Arabidopsis thaliana: one gene and its partners. The protein of the gene in region 1 binds, or shares a complex with, the protein of each later gene. Each region holds a gene or a part of one and is shown in the gene's direction. Other genes may lie near its edges.

Region 1 (3,430 bases):
AAACTCAAAGATCCAATCAAAGGATCATAAACTAGGCTATGAGTTAAGAATCAATACCGACGTAATACTCGAAAATGAGAACGACGGTGAGAATCGCCCAAACTGCGAATTTACTAGCATCTTGAAGCGGCTCTTTGAGAAAGATGACGAAAGAACAGAGTGCCAAAGCAATTCCCATCTTGATGGAGAAGTAAAGTTTCCTACGATCAGAATGTCCCAGCGCGTACAACTTCGCCGGAGCCTCGTAGAGAGCCCTCCACGAGCAACACCGGAACTTGGAGTCACGGCTATCAGCGACGTCGCTTGACTGCCAGAGAAGCTTCTCTGTGTTTTGCTCCGGTACTGATCCCATTTTACCTCCCATTAGAAATGATTCTGACAATTCTACAGAACCTGAGAGATTCTTGTCGTCCTTACGAATAGAAAGATGTTTATTTATCTATTTATCAAGATTTGTTTTGTACTACGCAATTAATGCATGCCTTCGATTCATCATCTCTAAATAATCAAGTTTTTTTAAAAAATTTACAATTTGGTGCATCTACATTACAAATTTTAATAATTGTCCGATTTATAACTTTGATGTTTTTGGTTGAAATCTAATCATTAACATATTAACCACCAAAAGTGTCCAAATTTTTTGAAACAGATGGAATTTAAAACGTGAGAATTTACATTTGTGGACCAGTAATGCATAAATGGACCGGTAAGGCCGTAATATGATTTTTTGTGACTATTAGTTATTCAGTAAAAAAATTAAAAATAGAATTATATTATTTCTTAATTTCTGTTCAATGTGTTAATGTTTCTTAAACTGTAGACTTTACCTTTTTGGCTCAGCTACATAATATTTTTTCATAGTTACCCGATTTAGTAAGTTTTTTTGTTGAATCTAAACATCAACATAATTCATTGTGACCAGTAAAAGTGTCGCAGAAATAACAACAGATATCTATGGATAAACAACCTGAGAATTAACTATAGTGGACGTGTGTAATGTAAATGGACCAATAATGTGACGGTGAACAAATTTACACACATATCTTAAAGTCTCTTCAAGTTCAAGACTCTAATAATTGAATTACAGACCCACAGTTTTGGAGAAGTTGCAAGTATCAAAGAGACGACAAGTTTCATGGTCGTGACTTGTGTGAATGTGACATTTTGAAACTCCTACTTACTACCGCATCGCATCTTACTACTTCCTAACTATGCTCAAAAGCCAAGCCCTACCCTACACAGTGTACCCACCCTCACATGAGATTTTTCCTACTTTTTTTTGAGAAACAACAATTATTTATGTATTTTGGGTGAGTTTGATTGTTTTATCCAATTATTGTATGCTGAAAATAAAAAATATCGTGTGCACATTATATAATAACTACGATGTAAGAAGTATTTCAAACTTTTACTATATATACTCATCGAATGATGTTCATGAATGACCATCATGGTGTCTTTCTCCTTAAAGGCTTTCTCATCTCATCTATCCAGTGCTACTTCAAGTCCAAAGAAAGACTCTTCTTTGGCCTCAGCAAACCTGTGAAAATAAAGAAGACGATTTTTTAAGATGAATCATGTGACATAATGTAAAAAGAATCATGTGACATATATAATGTAAAGGCCACTTTCTCAACAATTATTTGTTTTTGATAAATAAATAAAACAAATTGAGGACATCTTGCAGCGTACAATATCGATAATTATATTTTGTTAAAAATTGTGTTTTGATTAATACAAAAATTTATTTCACACAAAAAAATTTATTGACTTTGATCAAATCATGAACACTAAACAAAGATGAGGTTTTTAATTTTTGTATAAATACTTGTGGCTGTCAAATGTCATTCGAATTAAATATGATATGATTAATACTTATATGTTGAGATCTTTGAATTAGTCCCTCGAAAATACTTGAAACAGAGTCTGTATTTTTAAAAGTCTACTTCTCAAAGCTTCAGGTTTGTATTCATGGGCTTATAATAAACTCTGTATTCTTGACCCATTTAATGATGGGCCAAGTCAACAAAGCCCATAAATTTGATAGTCAAACTACTTTGAAACTCCACCCAAAAATGTGACCATATCTTCCTTATCCATATTCTCACAAAATCTCCATTGTTCTCTGAGAAAACACAAAAATGATGTCATCAATGGCACTCTCTTCTACTTCCCTCTGCTCTTCTTTCATCTCTCAACATCCAAAACTCTCCATCACTGCTTCTCCTCCATTGTTCCATACCCAAACAACCAAACCCATCTCTGTAAAACGGAAAATCATAACTCTAGCAGCTCCAGAGACACTCACCGCTGAAACAGTCACCGGAATTGATACTTCCGACAACACTCCACAACAAACAATAAAGGTAAAAACAACATATTCTTCTTCATCTTCTTGTCTCTTGTGTTACAAAACCCACAAATCTTTGTTGTTTGTGTTAGGTGGTGAAGCCAGATGAGAAATCAAGAGTGGTACTCAAGTTTGTGTGGATGGAGAAGAACATAGGATTAGGATTGGACCAACATGTACCTGGACATGGCACAATCCCACTTAGTCCTTACTTCTTCTGGCCTAGGAAAGATGCTTGGGAAGAGCTTAAGTCTACTCTTGAAGCTAAACCATGGATCTCTCAGAAGAAGATGATCATTCTTCTAAACCAAGCCACTGATATCATCAATCTCTGGCAACAAAGTGGCGGCAATTTAACTTCTCAATAATCTCTTTTTTGATTTCTGCATTTCAAGAATTCACTTTGTCTATGATTATTATTGCTATTGAGAGTTTTTTGTTTATCTAAACAATATCCAATCACATTCGACATAAAAGATTCATTTTATTGGAAAGAGAAAATGATAATAAAAGCAAACATCAAGCAACTCTGAGTTATTGTTTCCTTGAAGGACATATCAAACGCTTGATGGTTGAGATTTTGCAGAGAAGAGCTTCACCATAGGATTTAGAGACTCTCCGGTCACCGGAATATGTACACGTTAGTGTCACTTTCTTCTCCAACACACTCACCAATATTGAATATGTTTCTGCTCCAAGAAAACAGAGGAAACAAGCGTGAGAGGAAAGAACAAAAAAGTGTCTCATCTCGGAAGTAAGTAAGCTATATACTCACCGATCATCCTCGCCATTATGTCGGCGACTTTCTCTTGGCAGTCACTACATCTGATGTCTGCTGATAGAACAATCTCCTGAATCTGATAACACACAAGATCAATTAAAAGAATCCACAGAGTTGAATCATTCTAAGACAAAAGTGTTAAGAGAGTAACGAACAAGTGGCATGGATAACGATGCGACAGAAGCGAGACTGGTTTCACTTGTTCTTGAAAGCTTGCTTCTTAGTGATGGTTCAAGTTCCTCCTCGACGATTTGAGACAGAGTAGCCATGACACTCTCGTTGCACAGAGAAGATAGATA
Region 2 (2,454 bases), on another chromosome or scaffold:
AACTTTTGGTTTACAAAAAAAGTAACTATTGAGCCTTGGGTTGATACTAAGAGTAAAAAAAAATATATTAATACTAAAGTTCAGAATTATCAAAAAATTGATAAAATAACGCAGACGGATCTTGCTAATAAAAAAAGAAACTTTTTTGATTGGATGGGAATGAATGAAGAAATACTAAATCAGCGTATAACAAATTTTGAATTTTTTTTCTTTCCGGAATTTTTCTTATTTTCTAGTACATATAAAATGAAACCATGGGTCATACCAATCAAATTACTTCTTTTAAATTTTAATGAAAACATAAATGTTAATAAAAAGATCATTCGAAAGAAAAAAGGTTTTATACCATCAAATGAAAAAGAATCCCTTCGATTTTATAATCTGAATAAAGAAGAAAAAGAATCGGCCGGTCAAGTAGAACTTGAATCAGATAAAGAAACAAAAAGAAATCCCGAAGCAGCTCGATTAAACCAAGAAAAAAATATTGAAGAAAATTTTGCAGAATCAACAATAAAAAAACGTAAAAATAAAAAACAATACAAAAGTAATACAGAAGCGGAACTTGATTTATTTCTGACAAGATATTCGCGTTTTCAATTGCGATGGAATTGTTTTTTTAATCAAAAAATTCTCAATAATGTAAAAGTATACTGTCTCTTGGTTAGACTAAACAATCCAAACGAAATAGCGGTATCTTCTATTGAAAGAGGAGAGATGAGCCTAGACATTCTAATGATTGAGAAAAATTTCACTTTTGCAAAATTAATGAAAAAAGGAATATTGATTATTGAACCTGTGCGTTTGTCTGTACAAAACGATGGACAACTTATTATATATAGAACCATAGGTATTTCATTGGTTCATAAAAATAAACACAAAATAAGTAAAAGATACAAAAAAAAAAGCTATATTAATAAAAAATTTTTTGAAAAATCCATTACAAAATATCAAAACAAAACTGTAAATAAAAAAAAAAATAATTATGATTTCTTTGTCCCTGAAAAAATTCTATCCCCTAAACGACGTAGAGAATTTCGAATTCTAATTTGTTTCAACTTAAAAAAAAAAAATGCTAGGGATACAAATTCAAGATTTGATAAGAATATTCAAAACTTGACCACCGTTTTGCATAAAAAGAAAGATCTTGATCTTGATAAGGATAAAAATAACTTAATTAATTTAAAATCCTTTCTTTGGCCCAATTTTAAATTAGAAGATTTAGCTTGTATGAATCGCTATTGGTTTAATACTACTAACGGAAATCATTTCAGTATGATAAGAATACGCATGTATACGCGATTTCCAATTCCTTAATCATAAATACTTTTTACTATATATAATAAGTTACGGTATATGAAAACAACTATATGCACAAATATGAGGGATTGTTTTAAATTAAATCTTTATACATGAGATTAATTTAATCAATCACATAGATACCAATTATAGCGGATTCATAAATAAATTAACAGAATCCTTCTTTTTGAGATCTAAATTTAGATTTTTTTCTAAAATGAAGAATTAAGAGGTTGATAATTAAATTAAGATCCTTGTACAAAAAAACTACCATTATTATTACTGATCAGTAAAATTAATATCTTTCAATTCATATTAAAAGGGGAAGGATTTCTTTTTATGATAAAAAATATAGTCATTTCATTTGAAGAACAAAAAGAAGAAAGCAGGGGATCCGTTGAATTTCAAGTATTTAGTTTCACTAATAAGATACGAAGACTTACTTCACATTTGGAATTGCACAGAAAAGATTATTTATCTCAGCGGGGTCTACGAAAAATTCTGGGAAAACGTCAACGACTGCTGGCTTATTTGTCAAAAAAAAATAGAGTACGTTATAAAGAATTAATTAATCAGTTGAATATTCGGGAATTAAAAACTCGTTAAATTCAAAAATTGTGAATTAGTGAATTTTTTAGATCTTGAATTTTTTGATAAACTTCTTTATTCAGAAATCTAATTCATGCCAGAACGAATCAAGGAAAAACTTATGAAGAGACCAGTTACAGGAAAAGATCTTATGATAGTCAATATGGGACCTCACCACCCATCCATGCATGGTGTTCTTCGCTTAATTGTTACTCTAGATGGTGAGGATGTTGTTGACTGTGAACCCATATTAGGTTATTTACACAGAGGAATGGAAAAAATTGCAGAAAACCGAGCAATTATACAATATTTACCGTATGTAACGCGATGGGATTATTTAGCTACTATGTTTACAGAAGCAATAACAGTAAATGGACCAGAACAATTGGGAAATATTCAAGTTCCTAAAAGGGCCAGCTATATCAGAGTAATTATGCTGGAATTGAGTCGTATAGCTTCTCATCTGTTATGGCTCGGCCCTTTTATGGCAGATATTGGTGCACAGACTCCCTTTTTCTATATTTTCAGAGAACGAGAATTTGTATATGATCTATTCGAAGCTGCCACCGG
Region 3 (3,097 bases), on another chromosome or scaffold:
ACTAATGGTGACACAAGGATTTTCAGTCCCCCGCAATTAAGCTATGTGTACCATTACCGAAGTATAATCTACTGAAGTATCAGTATCATTTTAATATATGACTTAGGTCTATGTCAATGAAAAGAAACTCAAAAGTAGTAAATTCAAAAAGTTGTGGACCGGGAATTTCTTGGATTTTATAAATAAAAGAAGACTTTCTAAGTTTGAAAATGAAAAATGATATAGATTATAAATAATTCAAATAAATAATAACGAAAAAAAGGTAAGGTGTCAACCTTTTCGGGGAGTAGAGCTGGGGATAGAGGGACTTGAACCCTCACGATTTTAAAAGTCAACGGATTTTCATCTTACTATAAATTTCATTGTTGTCAGTATTGACATGTAAAATGGGACTCTATCTTTATTCTCGTCCGATTAATTAAGTTCCATCAAGGATCTATCAGACTATGAAGTGAATAATTTTATTTTAATCAAGAAATATTATTTCTTAAACTTCGAATTGATTCACAACATTTTGATTTTGTTTATAAAAAAATAGAAATCGAGATTCAGGTCGTCATTTTTGAGATCGTTTTGTGTTACCTAAATTTATACAATATAGGTTTTTATCCTTCATCCTTTTTGATTTGAAGTTTCGATCGAAGGATTCCTTTATGAACACAAGGTAGTGAACTCCATTTGTTAGAACAGCTTCCATTGAGTCTCTGCACCTATCCCTTTTTTCGCGCTTTGTAAACTCCGGTTTGTTCGCGTAAACCAGGATTTGGCTCAGGATTGCCCATTGTTAATTCCAGGGTTTCTCTGAATTTGAAAGTTATCACTTAGTAGGTTTCCATACCAAGGCTCAATCCAATTAAGTCCGTAGCGTCTACCAATTCCGCCATATCCCCTTTTTTAGGATCTCATTATGATGTCTTTCCTTTTTTTTCTTATGCCGAAACCTCGGGATTCATTACATTATAGATACTTATTTTATGTCTTTGTTATCTTCTTTTATTTTTTTGAGCTCCATCCATATTGATTTAGTCTAATCAACAAAGATTCTATCATTTTTGTATTTGCAATTCAATATGGTTATATATTACATAACATATATATGTTCTTTTTTTTTTCATCTTTGGCTTAAATTTTCAGAAATAGTCGAACGGTCGATTCTTTTTTTTTTTTTTACTTTCATGAAAAGAAATTTATTATTATTATTATTGAAACTTAGAATTCTACAATGTGCAATGGAAAAAAATTATAAGTCTACTTCGTAAATTTGAAATTCTAATAATTCTATACTATTCTATGACTATATAGATATATATATAGAATTAAGGTTATGTTTTATTTATTTAATGATGAATGATAGTCACTATTTATGTGAGCTATATTCTGTTCTAGAATATATAGAATATCATTAATTCTAACTAGATAAGGAAAAATATTAATAGAATAGTTAATTGATACGATCTAGTAGTTTAGTGAATTTGTATGCATGCGCTATTTTATTTGAGCCCGCTTAGCTCAGAGGTTAGAGCATCGCATTTGTAATGCGATGGTCATCGGTTCGATTCCGATAGCCGGCTTTTCCATATTTTTTCGTTTTTTTTTACATGATTTTTAATGTACTTTCAAAATCAAAGAAGATTGAAAAGACTTCTTTGACCTTTTTCCAAGAGTTACCACTCCATTTATATTATGTCATATAAACTTCCATATTAGGAATATATATTGGGTAAAAGAGTTTGATCTTTGCAAAATTAATCAAGAAAATAAAGGAAAATTTTTGTGATTTAGTTGATTTATATATATTGTATATACAATAAAAAAAATCTGTATATTGAGAGAATATATCTTCTTACTCTTTGTATTCCAATAGTGGAGTGTATTTCACGTCATTTATCATTATCATTTAGTTCAGTTTTAATTTTATTTAGTTTTGTACAATTTCAATCAAAAAAGGAGTCTTTATGTCACGTTACCGAGGGCCTCGTTTTAAAAAAATACGCCGTCTGGGGGCTTTACCGGGACTAACTAGTAAAAGGCCTAAGGCAGGAAGCGATCTTAGAAACCAATCACGCTCCGTAAAAAAATCTCAATATCGTATTCGTTTAGAAGAAAAACAAAAATTGCGTTTTCATTATGGTCTTACAGAACACCAATTACTTAAATATGTGCGTATAGCCGGAAAAGCCAAGGGGTCAACAGGTCAAGTTTTACTACAATTACTTGAAATGCGTTTGGATAACATCCTTTTTCGATTGGGTATGGCTTTGACTATTCCTCAAGCGCGCCAATTAGTTAATCATGGACATATTTTAGTTAATGGTCGTATAGTTGATATACCAAGTTATCGCTGCAAACCCCGAGATATTATTACAGTGAAGGATGAACAAAACTCTAGAACTTTGGTTCAAAATCTTCTTGATTCATCTGCCCCTGAGGAATTGCCAAACCATCTGACTCTTCACACATTCCAATATGAAGGGTTAGTCAATCAAATAATAGATAGGAAATGCGTCGGTTTGAAAATAAATGAATTGCTTGTCGTAGAATATTACTCTCGACAGACTTAATAAACCTAACTTAAGTAAAAAAAAAAATTACTAAAAACAAGAGTTCGGACAACTCCCCTTTTCCATTAAAAATAAAAAGGCACAAGGTAAGGGATTTTGTCAAAGAATATTTTTCCTATTCATGTATCATAGATTGGTAGGGAGATTGGGATCCCTTGTTTGCTCTTCCCAGCATTTTCCATATGAAAGAAATTAGGAATAGAGAATCTATTTCAAAATCAAAACAAGGTAGATCTTATATCGATTCTTTTTTATTGGATTTGATACATTGTGGTCAATCACGTAAGATTGGTGAATTTGTTGAAAGTACGGAAAGAGAGGGATTCGAACCCTCGGTAAACAAAAGTCTACATAACAGTTCCAATGTTACGCCTTCAACCACTCGGCCATCTCTCCGACATCAAGATTATGACTGAGTATCTGGGTGAATAGCGAGTTATTCATCGTTTTTTAGATTATGGTTAATAGATACCCTTTTTGACCGGAAAATTTGGAAGTAGATAGAAGGTTTTTTTTAATGAGTCCGCTTTTATGTT
Region 4 (2,935 bases), on another chromosome or scaffold:
GAACTATAATTATAAGTTATGAAAGGTAATCGAAAAGTATGCGGATTCAGTGGAAGGATGAAAGAAAGAGAGAAAAAATTGAATATTAATGATATATTATTCCAATTTGGAAAGTCTATGAGGTCACTGTAAGAAAAGCAATGTAATAAAGCATCAATACAGATTCATTCAGAATAATTAGATAAATCTGTTCCGAAAACAAAAAAAATTAAGAGCCTTGAGCCAATAAAAACTAAGAAAATTGACTCAAAAACAAATAAAAAAAATGAAATTCCCGATTTCATATAAGAGCTCCATTGTAGAATTCGGGCCTAATGATTAATCAAGAAGCGATGGGAACGACGGAACCCATGAATATAGAGGATTCTATTGAAAAATAAATCTTAGTAATTCATTGGACAGGATGGCGGAATAAACCAGATTATTATCTATTCTTATTTTTATTCAGAGATCTCCTGGGATAAACAACAAACTTAATATAGATATTGAAAGAGTAAATATTCGCCGGCGAATACTTTTTTTTTAATAAAAGTAATAAAAAACAAAAATTAAAAAGATAAAAGAAAATAAGGATTTGTTAGAATATTCTAACAAAAACGACATTCGAGATGATGATATTACGTTACGTTATTTTTAAATAAATAGAATTAATCTTGGATTCCATTTCGAAAAAGACATACACAAATTTAGAAGAGATCAGATGAAATTGAATATCATGATTAATAGAATTAATCATTAACTATATCTTAATACAAGCTTTTTTAGTCCTTTTATTCGCGAGGAGCTGGATGAGAAGAAACTCTCACGTTCAGTTCTGTAGTAGAGATGGAATTTCTAATTTAGAACCATCAACTATAACCCAAAAAGAACCAGATTTCGTAAACAACATCGAGGAAGACTAAAAGGAATATCTTCTCGTGGGAATCGTATTTGTTTTGGCAGATATGCTCTTCAAACACTTGAACCCGCTTGGATCACATCTAGACAAATAGAAGCAGGGCGACGCGCAATGACACGAAATGTACGACGTGGTGGAAAAATTTGGGTACGTATATTTCCAGACAAACCAGTTACAGTAAGACCTGCGGAAACGCGTATGGGTTCTGGGAAAGGATCCCCTGAGTATTGGGTAGCTGTGGTTAAACCAGGTAAAATCCTTTATGAAATGGGTGGTGTACCCGAAAATATAGCAAGAAAAGCTATTTCAATAGCGGCATCAAAAATGCCTATAAAAACCCAATTCATTATTTCTGAATAGGAATATATAATGAAAAAACTAAATAACATTTAAGGGTAAAAAGATTATAAGTTTTCTTTTTTTGACAAACAATATTTTTTTACTTCGTCCTTTGCATTAAAAGAAGAGATACAAAAAAAATGATATGATTCAACCACAAACCTATTTGAATGTAGCAGACAACAGCGGGGCTAGAGAATTGATGTGTATTCGAATAATAGGAGCTAGTAATCGCCGATATGCTCATATTGGTGACGTTATTGTTGCTGTAATCAAAGAAGCAATACCAAATACTCCTCTAGAAAGATCAGAAGTGATTAGAGCTGTAATTGTACGTACTTGTAAAGAACTCAAACGTAACAATGGGACGATAATACGATATGATGACAATGCCGCAGTTGTCATTGATCAAGAAGGAAATCCAAAAGGAACTCGAGTTTTTGGGGCGATCCCACGGGAATTGAGACAATTAAACTTTACTAAAATAGTTTCATTAGCTCCTGAGGTATTATAAGATCTAAATATCGATAGCGATAGTTAGTATCGGATTAAAAAAACAGGTATTGAAATAAAATTAATTAATAGATTCTGTATCACGCATATACCCTTAATAATAAAATATTAAGAATTTAATTCATATATTAATATATAATTCGTCTATATCTATATATAAATAAAAGAAAAAGAACATGTTGATTATATCAAAATTATAGAACAATAAGGAATTTTAACTTATCATGGGGAAAGACACCATTGCTGATATAATAACCTCTATACGAAATGCTGACATGAATAGAAAAGGAACGGTTCGGATAGGATCGACTAACATCACGGAAAGTATTGTTAAAATCCTTTTACGAGAGGGTTTTATCGAAAACGTAAGGAAACATCGCGAAAACAACCAATATTTTTTGATTTTAACCCTAAGACATAGACGAAATAAGAAAGAATCCTACAAAACGATTTTAAATTTAAAGAGAATAAGTCGACCGGGTCTACGAATCTATTCTAACTCTCAACGAATTCCACGAATTTTAGGCGGAATAGGAATTGTAATCCTTTCGACTTCTCAAGGTATAATGACAGACCGAGAAGCTCGACTAAAAAGAATCGGCGGAGAAATTTTGTGTTATATATGGTAATCCTTCTAATATAAAAATTAGATATCTGTAACTTACAATTTGTGAAAAAAGGGGGTTGTGTAATACCACCCCTGTTCAAAAAAGTTTCGGATGTTTTACTTCGAATGAAATTAAAGAAAAAATGAATTAATAAAAGTTTTCTTTCTTAATCACTTCCGAACGGCATGGTTCGATTTTGTTTAGATACTAAAGATTTTTTTTCGTTCATGCTTCTGAAAGGATTCGACATATTTTTGTATAGGTATACCTATAGGATAAAAAGGTAAAATTTTGAGTAAGTTCTTAAGTATAAGTTAATAAGGGGACAGCCATTTTCTAGACTCCATAATAAGTATTCAAATGAGTAAGTGTTTTTTCAATTTCAACCATTCCTTTCACGAAGATACAATTCAAGATTCAAAAATATCAAGAAACCTTTTTTTCGTCCACCAATAAATATATTCACAGAATTAAGGAATAACAACTATGAAAATAAGGGCTTCCGTTCGTAAAATTTGTGAAAAGTGTCGACTAATCCGCAGGAGGGGACGAATTATAGTAATTTGTTCCAACCCGA

The links.
Region 2: PSRP3/1 (region 1) and rps15 share a complex: the UniProt entries of both Arabidopsis thaliana proteins name them as parts of the 30S ribosomal subunit.
Region 3: PSRP3/1 (region 1) and rps4 share a complex: the UniProt entries of both Arabidopsis thaliana proteins name them as parts of the 30S ribosomal subunit.
Region 4: PSRP3/1 (region 1) and rps8 share a complex: the UniProt entries of both Arabidopsis thaliana proteins name them as parts of the 30S ribosomal subunit.

Annotation. Positions count from the first base shown.
Region 1 is NC_003070.9:25,756,881-25,760,310, reverse strand, and holds PSRP3/1 (Ribosomal protein PSRP-3/Ycf65), read left to right. Parts: upstream 1-1,899; 5' UTR 1,900-2,141; coding exon 2,142-2,366; intron 2,367-2,442; coding exon 2,443-2,718; 3' UTR 2,719-2,884; downstream 2,885-3,430. Other genes in the region: AT1G68600 (aluminum activated malate transporter family protein), read right to left, coding at 58-364; AT1G68585 (uncharacterized protein), read right to left, coding at 2,885-3,039, 3,126-3,207, 3,287-3,400. UniProt on the Arabidopsis thaliana protein: Component of the chloroplast ribosome (chloro-ribosome), a dedicated translation machinery responsible for the synthesis of chloroplast genome-encoded proteins, including proteins of the transcription and translation machinery and components of the photosynthetic apparatus.
Region 2 is NC_000932.1:122,744-125,197, reverse strand, and holds rps15 (ribosomal protein S15), read left to right. Parts: upstream 1-1,635; coding exon 1,636-1,902; downstream 1,903-2,454. Other genes in the region: ndhH (NADH dehydrogenase subunit 7), read left to right, coding at 2,006-2,454.
Region 3 is NC_000932.1:44,687-47,783, reverse strand, and holds rps4 (ribosomal protein S4), read left to right. Parts: upstream 1-1,955; coding exon 1,956-2,561; downstream 2,562-3,097. UniProt on the Arabidopsis thaliana protein: One of the primary rRNA binding proteins, it binds directly to 16S rRNA where it nucleates assembly of the body of the 30S subunit. With S5 and S12 plays an important role in translational accuracy.
Region 4 is NC_000932.1:79,512-82,446, reverse strand, and holds rps8 (ribosomal protein S8), read left to right. Parts: upstream 1-1,974; coding exon 1,975-2,379; downstream 2,380-2,935. Other genes in the region: rpl14 (ribosomal protein L14), read left to right, coding at 1,383-1,751; rpl36 (ribosomal protein L36), read left to right, coding at 2,845-2,935. UniProt on the Arabidopsis thaliana protein: One of the primary rRNA binding proteins, it binds directly to 16S rRNA central domain where it helps coordinate assembly of the platform of the 30S subunit.